Neodiprion lecontei: one gene and its partners. The protein of the gene in region 3 interacts with the protein of the main gene of each other region in a biochemical or structural test. Links are inferred from orthologs where the notes say so. Each region holds a gene or a part of one and is shown on either strand. Other genes may lie near its edges.

Evidence for each region.
Region 1: the proteins of syndecan (region 3) and syntenin-1 form a complex in vitro, tested with the Homo sapiens proteins (3 studies listed by BioGRID and IntAct, with this or other methods). The link is inferred for Neodiprion lecontei from reciprocal best matches to the Homo sapiens genes SDC2 and SDCBP.
Region 2: the proteins of syndecan (region 3) and peripheral plasma membrane protein CASK form a complex in vitro, tested with the Homo sapiens proteins (2 studies listed by BioGRID and IntAct, with this or other methods). The link is inferred for Neodiprion lecontei from reciprocal best matches to the Homo sapiens genes SDC2 and CASK.

Annotation. Positions count from the first base shown.
Region 1 is NC_060261.1:38,853,073-38,859,455, forward strand, and holds syntenin-1, read right to left. Parts: upstream 4,739-6,383; 5' UTR 4,521-4,738; exon of another isoform or gene 4,457-4,520; intron 3,595-4,456; 5' UTR 3,576-3,594; coding exon 3,525-3,575; intron 3,364-3,524; coding exon 3,163-3,363; intron 2,870-3,162; coding exon 2,756-2,869; intron 2,657-2,755; coding exon 2,421-2,656; intron 2,343-2,420; coding exon 2,189-2,342; intron 2,071-2,188; coding exon 1,961-2,070; intron 1,890-1,960; coding exon 1,835-1,889; 3' UTR 557-1,834; downstream 1-556. UniProt on the Homo sapiens protein: Multifunctional adapter protein involved in diverse array of functions including trafficking of transmembrane proteins, neuro and immunomodulation, exosome biogenesis, and tumorigenesis.
Region 2 is NC_060262.1:31,566,951-31,571,600, reverse strand, and holds the start of peripheral plasma membrane protein CASK, read right to left. Parts: upstream 3,040-4,650; 5' UTR 2,571-3,039; coding exon 2,512-2,570; intron 1-2,511. Other genes in the region: uncharacterized protein LOC107218162, read right to left, coding at 3,859-4,054, 4,417-4,502. UniProt on the Homo sapiens protein: Multidomain scaffolding Mg(2+)-independent protein kinase that catalyzes the phosphotransfer from ATP to proteins such as NRXN1, and plays a role in synaptic transmembrane protein anchoring and ion channel trafficking.
Region 3 is NC_060263.1:25,408,272-25,413,405, reverse strand, and holds the start of syndecan, read right to left. Parts: upstream 3,071-5,134; 5' UTR 2,902-3,070; coding exon 2,827-2,901; intron 1-2,826. Other genes in the region: ATPase inhibitor mai-2, mitochondrial-like, read right to left, coding at 3,993-4,121, 5,065-5,134. UniProt on the Homo sapiens protein: Cell surface proteoglycan which regulates dendritic arbor morphogenesis.

The DNA of each region.
Region 1 (6,383 bases), on a different chromosome or scaffold from region 3:
GGCTGATTTCGAAATACTGCCACAACGCTATCACTACTACAAATCTACCCGTTACGAAAAATAAATTCCACTTGATTCATCGTTCAATTATAATTATAGATCATTTGGGTGAACCCCGTTTGGACATAAAAAATAATCGAAAGTTATATTGGACACGAGATTTAGTGGACTAGCAACGATTGGACACCAAGATTTATTCGGCACAGCCCCGATTGGACACAGCCTGATCAGACATGGAAAAGAAATGCTGAAGTTTCCACTTCAAATAGAAGAGTCTCTCGTTTTCCACGATAAGTCTGATAATGGGAGTTCACCATTACTTTTCCTCATCTGATAATTTAGGTTCTAATCGAGCATTTGAATACATTTACGAGTATTCAATCTTTGGAGGCCGATGGACCGTTTCCGCAACATCGCTGGTGTTCGATCCGGCTGTGTGAAATAATTCCCGTGTCCAATATAGATTCCGATTATTTTCGGTGTCCAATAATGCTGGTGTCTAAAAGGGCCTTTCTCGATCATTTACGTGAGTTTCGAATAGAACGCGCCGGCTTGGTATGCAATTTTTATTTATAATATAACGTTCAGAATCGCGTGTTACAAAAAATCACGTACATTAAATGCATTATATATATATCTTAATTATCTTATCAAGACACGACTATATATTAGAATAAACTTACGTGGATTGGATTTGATTGTTCAAAATACATATTTCTACGCTACGTTATAAATATATACCGTGTGTGAGCGTGTCTTGTGTGTATATCATATATACTATATTTTCATTTACCTCGATTAGGTAATAAATGGCACAAGAGAAATAGCGAGTAACAAATTATATAAACAATGTATTTTCTATTTAATGACTTTAAAAAAATTCTAACGCTACCATATACTAACTGTTTTCTTTCCTCTACATGTTCAGTAATAAAATATTTGATCGTTACATTAAGTTTATGTATACATATAGTCTGAATGTTCAGATGTTACTTTAAAACTGGAACGGATAATACACTAATAACAAGCATACATTAAATGGTATTTTTTATCACGATATGAAATTCGGCTGCGAGGAAAAATATCTATTTTTAAGTTCAAAAAGGAATATCTCGGTAAATTGAAACCTATGAAACGGAAACTGTAACGAGTCTTAGAAAACCAATATTGAAAAGATGAAAACTAAACATGAAGGTATCACGTTTGCGCAGGTCAGCAACTAATTACTTCGAAAATCAATATAATTATTGATTGACTTTGTGAGTTATTGAACGCTGTATTATATGATGCACTTTTCAGTCTCTTCGCGTACACATTTTCATTAATCTCCCGTTCAAAAGATCAACGAATAATACGAATACGATATTCTCTTTCATTTTTCGTTTATAATTGAATACTTCTAAGTTCTCTATAACGTAAAAAAAATTAAGGTAGTGGTGTCAATTGGCACATTAATGACAGTGCAATAACTAAGGCAACGTTGTTCGGCGATGCCGATCCAGAAATCTAATGATTTCCTGCGTATCAAGCCACCGTATAAGATAATTCTACAGTCTAAGGTTTGTTTATTTAAATAATTTTTTTTCAACGAATTTCGTTGATTCACAAAGTTAAAGGCCTTCGTTACCATTCGCTGATTCCTTACCAATGCAATTCATATTTTCAGTTGACCATAATTACAGTGAATGGCAAAAGATAACTCAATAACCAGCGGGTATATGATAATAATGAATTCAAGTAAATATGACACGTGTTTCTTATCGCTTGATTATATACTTGGGTTAGATTTAATTGAAAGTGGAAAAATATGGTCTCGAATCACCACTGCCGTCCTTTAAACAGTAGGAATGGAGTGATCCATTCCCGATTTCAATAAGCTGCCGGACATTCTGTAAGGAGAAAGAAAATTTTTGTGCAGAATATTGTAGGAAATGAAAAGTTTAAGTAAAAATTGACGTACTTTTTTATCATGTGCTCGTAAATGTAGGAAGGAATAATTGTGATAGTTATGATATCACCACCATTTTCAATTTCAGCACCAATTTCTTTGTCCTTCAACCCAATCACGTTCTGAAAATACATCAAATTTAGTTACAAGTTAGTGCAACTGATTCGATGACCAACTGTGTATGAAAAAAGTAATTCGAAGCATCATATATTACTTTCAACAAAGCTTCTCAAAGTTTACCTTGCCATTAACTTCAAGCAGTTGATGGTCAGTCAATAGCCCATTTCTAGCAGCTGAAGAGTCCTTCACCAATGTAGTGATTTTTCCATTTTTGAATTGGAAGCCGATATGGCCAACGCTGTCCTTGTGCAATGTGATTGTCCTTTCAAATGGCCTAAAATAACAGATTAAATTTATTTCAAACTAATTCTGGCTGGAAAAATACAAATAGGTTGAAAAATGAGCATGTTACCTGTCTCTAACTATGACTTTGATACCATTATTGGGAGCTTTGCGCAACAGTTTATGCGCCTGATCCATGGAGTAACCAGCCACAGTGACTCCGTTTATTTCCAATACTTGATCGCCAAAACGTAGACCTGCCATAGATGCCGGAGAGTTTGGACTCACGAGGCAAACAAACACTCCGTTATTCACAGAGTGTACTCTCATGCCGATTTTCCCATCTTTGTCCTTGCACAGAGTCAGCTGCGAGAAAACATACAACCAAGTTGATTACATTATTGTATGTTTTTTGGTTGGTCTGAATACCAGAAGTTTAATTAGTAATGAAAGTAATCGATATACCTCTCGAATGCCATTGGTGACGTGTGCTCTCTGCAGACCCAAAGAATTTCCGGACAGGGGAGCAATCATACCAGATAAGCTTCCAGTTGATGGAGCTTGCGGTGCCAAGGCAGTCTGTAAAAAAATAAAAAGTTAGTTTAAAGCTAATTGCTGCTCATGCAATTCAGGCAGGAACTTACAAAGGATTAAAATAAAATTGACACAATATATCGCAAATTTCTAAACTCTTACAAATTTCATATGATAACAGAGAAATTTGATGTCATTTAAAAACATTTTCTGGTATTGTACAAGCTTGCTTATACCAAATTAATTTTTGTGAATTTATTTTTGTCGAATAATCAAGTATCTCGGTAAGAATCTCGCTTTAAAAAAAACTTGAAGCATAAAAAGTTTGAATTGCATACCGACTGTCGATTGACAACTGCATACTCAGGCATATTGGCAGCTATCACATCTTCACTAAGTTCTAATCCCATATAATCGCCAAGAGCTGGATAAAGAATGTGATGCTCCGGAGCTGAAGGACAACTAGCTGCCTGTGGGAGAGGATTTTGTGGCACCTGAGGCGGATGCGGAATGTAATGTTGATCCGCTAGAAGTTGAGCCTAGAGACAGAGAGATGGAGGAGTCAGTCGGTCTAGGTAGGATGGGTAGAAGTTACATAGAAGTATTGATTACCAAAGACACATGAATTATTACAAGGCATGGAAAAGAGACTATACACAGTATGTGACATATTGAGGAGGTACAGGGTGCATTCACCTACCTTGATCATGTGATCAACCTTCATATCCTCCAGGGACGGATACAGCGACATTTTGCTTTTAAGGTTCACTCTGTAATTAGTAAAATATAACTCTCTTAGTTAGTGCTTTATCAGATGTGGTATTGTCACGTACTTGCCTACAAAGCTTATCGCTATGACTCAGATAAAAAAGTTCGATAGTGTTGCTAACAGTATTGTACATAAAATTTGGATAGTGTTAATATTATTTTTGCCTATAGAATTAGAGAACAAAACTGCGTTTCAGAGCATAATTAAACATAAAAATTTCTATCGATTGTTCTGTTTGAGTGGAGCAAAGTGGTGAAACTTCAGATCAGAAATGTATAGAGAAAAGATAAAATACGTATGAACTACAGTGAGATTTTTTTTATAAAGGAGGAAATTCTGCTTCTCAGATGACTCGCACTATCGATTGCTGACCGAGAACAAAGTTCTTGTCTGAATGTAAAGTAGTACTGTGCGAAGAAAAATGTTAAGCTTGTCGAAGTCTCTTATCTCACTCTACATGCTTTCGGCTTAATCACGTTATACGTAGTTTATTTACTGTACAGAAATAAGATTCGTTCGGTCATAAAAACCGATACCTCAGTTTCAACTTTCTCAATAATTCGGTATTCTTCAAGAATTATTTGGAGGAAAGAAGGAGGAAATGACGATAAATGATTTCCTTAGAAATACCGTTGACAAAAATGTAGAGCAGAAGCTTAGGATAAATTTTAAACACATAATAAACACGTAGGTGGTTGTGCAGCCTGCGGTTTCAAACGCTTTATACTTTCATTGATCCTAATTCAAAGGTTAAGCGAAGGTCGGGAAAGAGACCATGCAGCGAGGAATATCTCGTAGTGTTACAGATATTAGATTCTCTTTGTCAAAGGCGTTCCAGGAACAGTAAACGTTGTTCAACTCACATGCGTGATCTGCAACGAAACGTGGACGAGCCCTGATTCTTCCTTTCTTCTATAAATATCGCACTTTAATTCACAGAGTCACACCCTCGCGGCACGGAAAGCAAAGTTTCAACGGTTTCAACTAACCGCCTTGCTCTGAATGTCGGAATGTGGTCGAGAATATGCCGCACGATACAAAAGCAGACTATCGAATAAAGAACTCTGAGCGCACTGCCAAACCCTATCACTTGTCACGCTTGTCTCACGCACAACGGGCTTTATTACGCTTTTTTACTATTCCCATTTCCCGCCATCCGAGCATTCTGACTGGTTTGCAAAGTTTAGTCAACCAGTGAGAATGCTTGGATGGCGGGAAATATGAAAAGTAGAGGCAGTACGTGTACGCATTCGAATAACGTCAAGCGAATCGTGCAACGTGCTGCCCTCAGGCGGTGAAACTTCGTTCTAGGAAGTGGAAAAACACGACACTCACTTTTGGGAATTCCCTGATCGATTCATCCGAACACCGGTTTCGCAACTTCCTTGTTCCCTTCTTTACACGATAGAACCGGAGCTCTATTTGTACTTATTGACGATTAAAATAAAATGTTAAAAGTTCAGGAGAGGATATTTTGCTACCGACCAACGTATGAAATTTTGTTCTTTTTCACCGGCTTGTACTCCGTATTCCGGTATTACGAATTCCTCTCGAGGTTATTAACACCGATGCACTTATTACCGTTGCAATATGACGTAGTTGCAGCGCGTGGGTGGATCGTTAATGATAAAATGTGAGAAAAGGGGCAACAGTTACCGGCTCGAACGTACAGTTGTAAACGTTTTGAAGTCGCAGAATTTGGAAATTATAGTTTATATATGTTATAACAAGAAGCGGTTACGAAAAGTGATTTAAGATTAAGATATTAATTCAGTATTATATGTTTTATGAAATTTCCAGTGTCATTGGATGGATAAAAGCAAATCTCAAGAATCGATAAGTCGGTATTTCTGTACTACTTGCTACATCATCGCGTCGCGGTATCAGAATAATAATATGAATGTTTGTACGCAGCTTGCGCGTTGAATTCAAATAGTCGTTATTACGTGTTATTGTTTCATTTGTTATTTATTCATTGATCAAAGAATAAGTATAAACTATCAACATAGCGTAGATAACGTATATAGTAAACAGATATGAATATTTACAGCCTATGTCTTTCAGAATTCCCGCACCAAGAGTACTCGATCAGCCAGCTTTCGGCAAATTTTACTACTTCATACACTTCACGAAATACAGGGAAAATTCTATTCAATACAATTCAGCACGAGTTCAGTAGGAATATTACAAGTATAGAAATGATGGAGTTATGTGCTTTGTGATAATCCGAAGAAATGGAATCTACAAAAAGAAAACAACGATGTAATATTTGTATTTCAGAAATAGAATTTGTATGCTAATCAGTGTCTCCAAACCCGTGACCTTTACTAATACGTATGTGATGTGAAGATTTGCCGAAGATGGAGATTAGACTCTTATAATGATAGTTATATAATTATACAATAATTGAGTGACCTGCACTTGTAAATATAAATTTTGCCTAACAATTCCTTCATTAAAAACATGTTTCAAATCCATAATATTCGTCATTCAGGCGTGACTACGTATAATCACGAATCGACGGATCAATGGTTTACATTAAAAGGACCTGTTTCAAATTCGAAGAGTCGACAGCGACTTCGCTCGACGCATATACACGTTTTTAATTTGAATCCATTCTTTATCAACGTGGACCAGATTTTCCATTTATTGCTTCTCTACGACGTTGGGTTCTCTAACTAGTCTATTACACCAGGATACAGGCAAAAATTCATGACTTACACGAGAGTTACGAATCAGTGTGACACCGCGAATGAAACTATTTCAAATTCATCACGTAATTTGATTTCA
Region 2 (4,650 bases), on a different chromosome or scaffold from region 3:
ACAACTAAACCGCAAAAGTGTAGGACAGCCCTGAGTGGGAGGAATAAAGTAAGCCGAGCAATGTATTAATATGATCAAATATATAATTGTAGGTACCCAGTTATACCGAAGGTTGAAGATCAAATTGGTTGACTTATCATTAGACTCTGAACCGCATTACCGATCGATGGAACGAACCGTTCTAAGGAGAACAAAAAAAAATAGACCAAGTATAAAGAAACGTTCGTCGATTGCGTCTAACTGGATCTGCATATCTAACGTGTGTTCACTCAATCTTTAGCTGACACCTTTATCTGGTATAACATTGCTGGCACCTTGGGGTCATTGAAGACTCCGATCGAAAATTGATTGCTGTAATGAAGCAACTTAATATGTGAACTTTATTTTTTTTGAGTATTCACCTAAGTGTCTTTTACAAGATAAAAAAGATCCCAAGAATAATTTTAAATTTTACAGTCGACCCAAGGTACCAGCAATGTTAGACCAGATAAATGTGCCAGCTAAAGATTACAAACCTTTACGTCACAAATGACCGCAAGGTATGTTAGGTATGACCAGCTAAAGGTTAGTTTCAATTGACGAACAGCAAATTGACTCGAACCATTCAAGTATTCATGTAACTCACATGCAACGGTCGTACAGTTTCAACGCACACGACGAATATTCTCTGTCATTAAATCATAAAATGCTTAAAAGATTTATGAAGTAATACAGATACTACTGCGTAGTGCACAAATTTCTTTCGATAATAAAACCCTTATACCTGCTCGTGAGTGTAGTTCTGCCGAGCCCACTCTCTGGATTTGAATCAGTGAAAATTCGCTGATTCCCAATCATAAGTATACGACTGGAAAAAATCAGTACATATGCACTGACGATTCAGTGAGTTTTTACTAATACTTCACAGGGTGAAGTTATTAACGTTACTGTAATGATGCATGTTCAAGAAAAATCGCTAATCCGCATTTTTAAGAATGCCTGAGACTTAGTAAACTATTACAAACAAAATATACTTTAATTTTGAATAGCCAACTCCTTGAAAGTCATTTTTAAATTGCCCGATAATGTCGACTTGTTAGCCTAAGGTTTTGTTACGTCACCAATTTCAGCCTGATAATGTGTCATTGACTTCCAGTGTATGCACAATGATTTTCTCCAGTGGTATACTTATAACTAATTCATATTTAGAGAGTGCATCCACAGCGCCACAGCTCAATCTAGTTTGGGAGATTAAGAATTGTTCACAGGATTGTTTGAATAAGAGTCCAATGTAGACCAACAAAGACCCAGAGTAAGCTCAACTCGACGGTCGTACCATAAATTCAACTGTCAACTCACGTCAAGGACTGTTAACTTTTTCGTGGCGCATTTTAACGCTGTGACGTTCAGGTAAGAAGAGTAAAAGGTCCGTCACAGTTTACTTTCCTGGCAATCGTTGGTGTATAACATTTTGTTCGTCCGTCACGTGTTGCCTGATACTCGTCTAAAACATTATGCTTGGGCTTTAATCTGTAGAAAACTTTATGGTTGAACTTTGACTCGGAAACGGTAAAACCCAAGGACTGGCATATGTGGTAATACAAAAGTTTTTCATATTCGTTTCCCCTTTCCTGTTCGGTGGATATATTTCGGGACAAAATAATCGATATCAAACACATTCCCGTCTCCCGACCTGATACATACATGCAAGCATATGAGTCCGTGTATGTATAATAATATACCTATGTACGTGAATAAAGGTACTGTGGACTAGGTATGTCTATATGCATGAAATAATCTGCCTATGCTAATTTTCAAAGAATGAAATAGAAGTTGAAGATAATACGCTAGATCGAAACCCTGACGCGCGCTTACATAGTTCCGGACAAATTTCACCTGTGTAACATGCAAAGGAGACGATCAGTGAACCTGGAATTTATAGTACCAAGTTTAAAACGAGCAAATTCCAACTGCTCGTTAAAATGTCGTTGGAAAATAGAAGACTGAGGTTATCGTTTCCACTTTGAAGTTGACGGTGATAGAGAGAAAATAAACTAGTCTTGATAACGGATAATTGAATTTGGCGGGCTGAAGTAAACACAAGATGGCCAACTACACCTGATATAAGTCAGGCTATCCACACATACTCCCGTAATAAGCATTTCGAAGAGTAGGTAAACACCCGTGTGTGCGTCGTCGACACGTATACCTGGAAATGTGAGATCACGCTGACGAAACGCCCGTCAATCAGGTTAGGTTCAAGTGTGACAAAATTATAAACAATGATAATAGAAGTGTGCCTATTCGAAATTTCGGTATCGCATTCGAATACCGACCGAAATTCGTTCGGCGGGTAAAGAGTGTAGTAAACACCTGAAAAGTTGAAAAACAAAATACAATCGTGGACACGAAAACGCTCGCAGTGTGTCAGCGGACAAACATTCGAACCGTTGACCGTTACTAGGTTAATGTGAGGGAGTAGAATATTCTCTATTCGTTCCGATGAGAATCAAGAGTCCCGAGTTTACTCACTTTCCGATAATCTCACAGAGCTCGTAAACATCGTCGAACAAGACCTCATCCTCTGCCATGACTTCGTCTATGCCGGCCGACAAGCCCGCTGCCTCCGTTCAACACGGCGTGGTAGTAGCAGAATGGGGGGGGGGAGGAGGGGGCAGTGGCCCACGGCGTTCGCCTCGCCTCGCCTCGCCTCCTCGCGGAGTCTGGTCCTACGGTAGTTGGCAGCGATCGTAGGCTGGTCGTTCGGCGCGAGCCGTTTGTTCGTTCGTTCGTCCGTTACTTCGTTTCACTGTCACTTATCACGTACACCAACCTATTTTTCCACCCTCGGCACGGAGAGCACAAGGGGGCAAAACGCAGCGAGAGCGCACACGCAAACACCGCCTTTTAGCACAATGCGGAATTCACACTTTTGTCAGGCGGTTTTGAAACTACGAAAATGGCCGGAGGACACGCGCCTCCATTCACTGACGTTTTGACAGCAATCCTACTTGCTACTAGGACCGTGACAGATAGCACACGCCTTTCTGACAACCCCGCTGCTCTCCGCCGAACGCTGCAGCGCTCGACACCCAACCACACCAACCAACCCGTTGCTCCGACGCAAAACTGGTTGCATAAAACACGGCGGGCGCAGGGCGGCTGCGCGACGTTTCGGCACCGAAACCTGGGCGCCTGCCGTCGTCTACGCAACGCGCGGAGCGCGCGCAAGCGGACTGCCGACAAAATCGACGTGGTGGGGCGTGTCTCACTGCCTTCTCGACCCACGGTGAGCCCTGCTCGTATCACGGACGAATTCAAAATTCATCGCGGAATATGTCAAACACCGCATACGTGTTAATTGACAATATTTTCCCATCAACGATGCAAACAAGCGTAGAAAAGCTCCCGACTCTGTACGTGATACCGTCTATGCATAAGTATAAGTACGCATATTTGACAACAACTTGATAATATTAAAATTAGTTACTTAGCTCTACTTGAGCGACAAATGGTTAGGTACGTATACGGATTCGCTGCTGTGAATTCGTAATGCTTGAAAGACTAGTGTTAGAACAAGATATACTTCAGCTGTTGCGTTTACGTTGCGGTAAGAAAAACTAGGAAAAACAAAAACAGAGACGAATTTATAAACCGTGATATGTGCAACCCTGTATTGATTCGTTATTATTTATTCAAAATATTTGTTAGACTTGAATTTCTGTCCAAAACGACTTTGAGGCTCTTTAAATAAGTAACATAGCTTCTAATGACTTGACACACAGTATAAGCCACACACGGTCAAAGAGATATGTCACGTTGTGGCAGTGAAGTTGCCCGCTACATCTATGCCGACAAATCAAGTTGTTTACATGGACGTCAATGTAAGTAACACAGATCGTCAAATGCTTCTTCCATATCTTCCTCTCGGCCAAACGCTGTTAGTACCAGCATTACTCTGGCCTGACCAGTTGTTCTGTATAAAGTGTTTGATTCAACAGCTACATGACGTACTTTCTTTGCCAGGTATACGAGGTGTTTGTGATTATACCCTTTCAACACTGTTATCTTCTGTCTAGAATGAAAATAAAACATATAATAACCCCTCAATATCGCTTAAGAGATCTGATAGAACAGGCATGACTTCAGTTACTGTGAATCGATAGAAGCGCTGCTAGTGTGATAAAAACAGGTGATATTCAACTATTTGAATGCAAGGAACACCATATTTGAGTATTGATAAATAGGAATTTAAATGGGAACAAAAATAATATCAGGTTATAAGCATAGTTTTTTTATTTGAGGGATTTCAATCATACGTATTATGTATCATACATACTGGCAATACCAAATTGTTCTGTCGTTGTATGTTGTTACAAAACTTGAAACTGTTCACTCGTTAGCATACAAACAGGTTAATTATTATCAGAACCTTACCCTGCTCTATCCCATGAATCAACCAGACTCGAATGAACGTTGCTTTCGTCTAGCTTTAGATAGAGAGCGAGAAATGATCTGCAAAGCTGTGAAAGCATAAACATTCCTTTTATCAATTCGGACAGAAATATCTTGACAATATAAATTAGGTATACGATTTTATTACGGTACCAATCCAATTGTGCTTCTTAGAAAAAATTTATCATTTTCATCCTGAATCTTTTATACATCTTA
Region 3 (5,134 bases):
AATCCACCGGGTGGAGGACCTGGACAGCCAGAACTACGAAAATTAGTCCTGAAGGTTAAAAATCACCAGGTCAAGGACCTGGGCGGCCAGAACTACGGAGCGCTTGTTCTGGAAGTCAAGTTTCACCGGATAGCGGACCCGCAGCGCAGGGTCCAGGAGGTAGAGAGAGAATCCGGTACTCGAAATCTGCCGAGCGCGATTCTCATCCGTCCGCTTTACTGCGCGATTGTTTCGAGACTGAGGAATTCGGCTAGCTGATTTTCGTCGTTACGATTACTATAGATGGATGACGTCGAGAGAAAAAAAAATTTTGGATGACGTCACTTTCTGAACATCCGAACATCCAAACTATGGTTTTCAACTTTAATACTATGTATGATGTATGATGTGTGATGTTCACTCGTTTGCAAGAGCACTTCTCGACCCTTTTGTATAATCATTTGTGTTCTTTAACTCATGTTCGCTCACCCACCTGGAACATTTTCTGATAGTCAAAATTTATAAAATTCGGAGGCACTTTTCCACATGAACGAATTGCAAACAGATTATCAACTTTTTGTCCTATTTCTAGTCAAGTATTTTGCTTTATTATTATAGTCTGCATAAAAAGTACCGTTCTGTGCGATTGCAAATTCAAGGTTTTCAATAATACCCACTATAAATATTTTTTCTTAAATTCCCCGATTTTCCCTCACCAAATTATGAATTTCTCTTGGGTAAAATTCCAACTAGTAGTACGAATTGGAGTATCGAATAAATAAAACTCCGAACTAATCAGTTGTCAAAAATCCGTGTATCCATATATTTAAGGGTCATGAAAATGAGCACGTGAGGGAAAATATTTTTCTTGTCTAGTCTCTACTTTTCTATCATGCCACTATAAAATTCCCTCACTAATTACAAAATGTTTTGTCCTTTCCATAAATTGCCTGACCACTTTGCGATTCCGTGTTTTTCTAATTAGTCAGAAGCTACAGCAACACCATAACTGAGGTAAAAATCATGATTGGAATGTAATATGTTCTGAAAAATGGATTATGCAACGATGCATTCTTGTATACGCGCGTTTCCGAACGCTTATGTAGCTGGCTGGAAATATATTCCTTGACGGCAGTCAAGTAGAAAACTTCCCTTTAATAGAATAACGAAATTCTTTAATATTTACGGAAGTTACCGCAATTTTCTGGCGAGTCTAATCTGGTCTGATACAACCGTCATTTATTTATTTTATAACCCATAACGTTTTCGTAACATTTTTTCTCCCATGGTGAAAAAGTAATAGAAACAAAACCATCTTTCATTGGTACGCAAATATACAAACTACTAATACAAATACAAACTAAGAATGGGTTATTTTACGGGGTTTAAGTGTATAAAGTTAAAATATCGAAGCATAGCAAACTAACAACTACGTCTCACAAAATATAAGTGACAGGCTTTGCTTAGTCAAATTCCTAATTTCAAGCTTCGTTTACAGTTGACTGCATCAAAGAGGCGATTAACATGAAAAATTTTCCTCAAGTCAACGTTACGAATTTAAACCTCGTAATGAAATGTGTGAAAAAATATAAAATTCACTTTTATTCGTTTCTTTGAACATCGCGGTTAAAAACGTCGAGTTTTTTGTTGTGCCATATTGCAATTTGCACGTTCAGATATGGAACATATTTTCGGTTTTGATAAAACGCTACCGTTCACACTGTGAGAAAAATAACGGTGTCAATATAAGTCCACACTGATTAGTGTAAAATTAAACATCATCGATGTAAATCGTTCGATTCTGGTCACCAAGTGGTTTTAAAATCAACACTAAAATGGTGTGAACTTCTATAGAATATTTTCGTTGTTACATATAACACCGCATTTCTAACAGTGCATCAACAGAGTTCGTGCAAAAAGCAGTTTACAAAATTCATCGCTTTCCACATTATATGTAATTTAAAATAGTTAAATACAAAACCCATCGTTTGTACAGTCCATAAACAGCCTTAAGTGAGATATAAAAAGATTTGTAATTTGTCGAGTAAATATGAATGATTTAGCGCAAGCATTTCCCAGAAATCATTTTCCGTCGCGGTAATGTAGCTTCGATATGAAAAAGTAAGAAAGAAACTAGGATTACCGGGTATTCAGATTTGAAATGCGACTTTTGTAATCAAGCTCCCTGACTTTCTTGACCTTCCTCCTGGTTTTCCAGATTGCAAACATCTCTCCCCGGTGTTTCATTGACGCGATTGTTTACATCTCGACGCGCGTTGCCTCGTTCCTTATTCGTTTGTTTTTACAATCGAGCATATATTATCATTTAACCATGGCCTTTCGCTATCGTTGTTATCAATTTCTGCCGGTTTTCAATCACGGGGACGTAGACCAGGATTGTATTGAATTAAATCGACTCTGCTTACGCGATGTAATATCCCGTCATCGGGTCTGGAAATATTCTTTACCAGGGCATCAGAGGGCACGAGGGGGTTGGCGGGGAGGTTCGTCGCTCCGCTTATAGGACGCGTCCGTCACACATGGTTCTCCGTTCTCGCGGAGATTTCCTAGAGCCACATCCGTATATAAGCGATGCATTTTCCCCCGTAACGCGAGGGTCGGTCAATTGATCGCGTCGTCTGCCGCGTTAGCCAGTTTTCGAACTGCTCGTAGGGATGAAAGGTGTCGAAAAAATATTCAACGAACACGGACGAGCGAGGTAAGCTTCGCAGGTATTATTCGTGATGAAAAATGAATCGAAATGCTTCGAGTGGAATGACTCGGGATGCGAGAGACTAGACGGGGTGAGGACCGAGGGAAAATGAAAAGTGACAGACGTTCACTTACCTCTGATGCAGCAGCGTTGCATCCCGATAAAATAACGCCTCCGAACGCCAGAAACAGGTATATCCTTGGGTGCATTTTTGTTTATTCCTTCGCGAGGGAGGGGGAGGGCCCTGGACTGAGCCCGAGAGTTTCACTTTGTTTCGTTAAATACAAAACTAATCAAATACAACCGAAAAACCACCAAAACTCGAGAGCAACAATGCGAACACACCACACTGATCAATGAATCCTACGACACTGAGGGCGCGACGGTCGTCCCCGCTTCTTCTGTATTTCGCGCCATCTTGCCACCGGTAGTGCCACCTGTGCGGATTTACGGCGAAGCTCTCGTGTCGGCAGAAGTTCGATCGATGCGTGACTATGATAGGGTAGGTCCGTGGCGATATTATGACAAACCCCTATAACGTTAGCAGATTATTTATCAGATGCGTCGTTGACTGAGGCTAATATTATTCGACTCGTATTGTCGAGATTTGAACTTGGGTTACAGTCATTTTCAACTGATATTCATCACTGTTAACACCTTAACAGGGATAAGAAGTTTCAGTTGTTTTTCGAAATGAATTTATATTTTTTTTACTTTGCACAGAATAGCCGCGTATTCAACGATCATTTTTATTTTGTACGCTCGTAAAGTTACGCGAGTGTACTTTGAAGTAAAATAGTTCAAAACGGTATTGCATATCTGCCTGACAATGATTTTTGAACTGCATTTTTACAGTATTTAGGCTACCGAAGCAATATCGTACAAAATGAAAGAAAGTCAAACAAGTGGAATTCCCATTTTTATAACGTGACAATGTGATAAAACCTCAGATACAGATAGTATTATACTAGCAATTGGAACTTACAAAACCAAAAATATTAGAAATAGAAAAGAATTGCATCGTTGAATTAGTTCAGTTAAAGCTGGGAGCTAGTATGCTAAGTGTGCAATAGCTCAAAGCTTAATTACAACATAGTTTTGGATGATGAAATATGAGTTCGTACAACTTTTTTAACTATGAAAAGCTGTATACTTTATTTCTACATAATATTTAAAGATTTAATAGTTTAAAAAAAAAAAATTCCATTCAAGATGTCATTGACTATCATTGACATTAAAAATACAATGATTTAATTTGATGTATGGCGGTTCAGCTATTCGTCAAATCCTGCATACATTTTTACTTCTCCATCTTTCCAATTCGAGCCTTGTGGCGCTCTATGGCCTCCTGATGACGCTTTATCTGTTCCTCGTGAAAAGAGATCTCATCATGAAGACCGTCACGCAGATTTTTCAACTGCTCCTTTTGCTAGAACAGAAAAAGAAAATTCAGTGACTGCATATTAAAGTGCGTGAGAATTATCCTATGGAATACAAATATGACGCAACCTCTTATGTTGGCTATTGAAATTTAACTTTTTGATCTTGGTAATTACTCACATATATCTTGTGAAAATGAATTTTGTAACATTTATACAATGTTGCAATTATAAAAAGTCTGCTTACTGCCCAATTTTGGGATTATATAACATTTGGTGAGGCATAATAAGGAAAAACACATTCACGGTTTGCAAACTCAACTCTTTCAAATTAATACGAGAGTTGAAATATATAAATTTTTTGTTTGATCTGTCGTTACGTCAACATTACTGATTTCAACTTCGTTATTTGGTTTTGCCATTCCAAAAGTTCAAGTCATTCAGTAAATTATTTGAGACAGCTTCGAAGTATCTTTGCTAACATAATTCAGCAATAGTAAAATATATATTTTTTCTATTCATTCCAAGCAGTGTCTCCATGGAAACAATCAACATATCTATCAGTCAATTTTGCAACAATTGCATAAACTAATTGTTGAAACATAATGACAAAGTTGAGAAAAAAAATTTTCCTCAGTTAATAGGAGTATCATGAAATATATCTTAAAAAGTCATTAATTTTATAAAATCAAACATTGATAGTGACATATAAGGTTGAAGATCACCACATCAACGTTAAGAATAATTTTTATTTTTTTTTAGGAAGAGCTGTTATTTTTTCATTTTACGTTCTTTGCTTGTAAGAAAATGTAACAAATAAAAGAATATGTTCACTTTTTGCAATCTTATTTCTTTTATAATCATTTCAAGGTTACAAAACTCTGAATTTATTTCAACTTGACAAACTCCTACTAACTTTTCATTTCTCAAGTTAATGAAGAATAGTGTTGAGGACTGCTTAAACACCTATCCTATCCTATGCTAGCGTTATACCTGATTGTAGAAGTATTGGTCTTCGCGTGCTGCTTCCATCTTGCCAAAACTTCCACCAGCTTCCCTGATG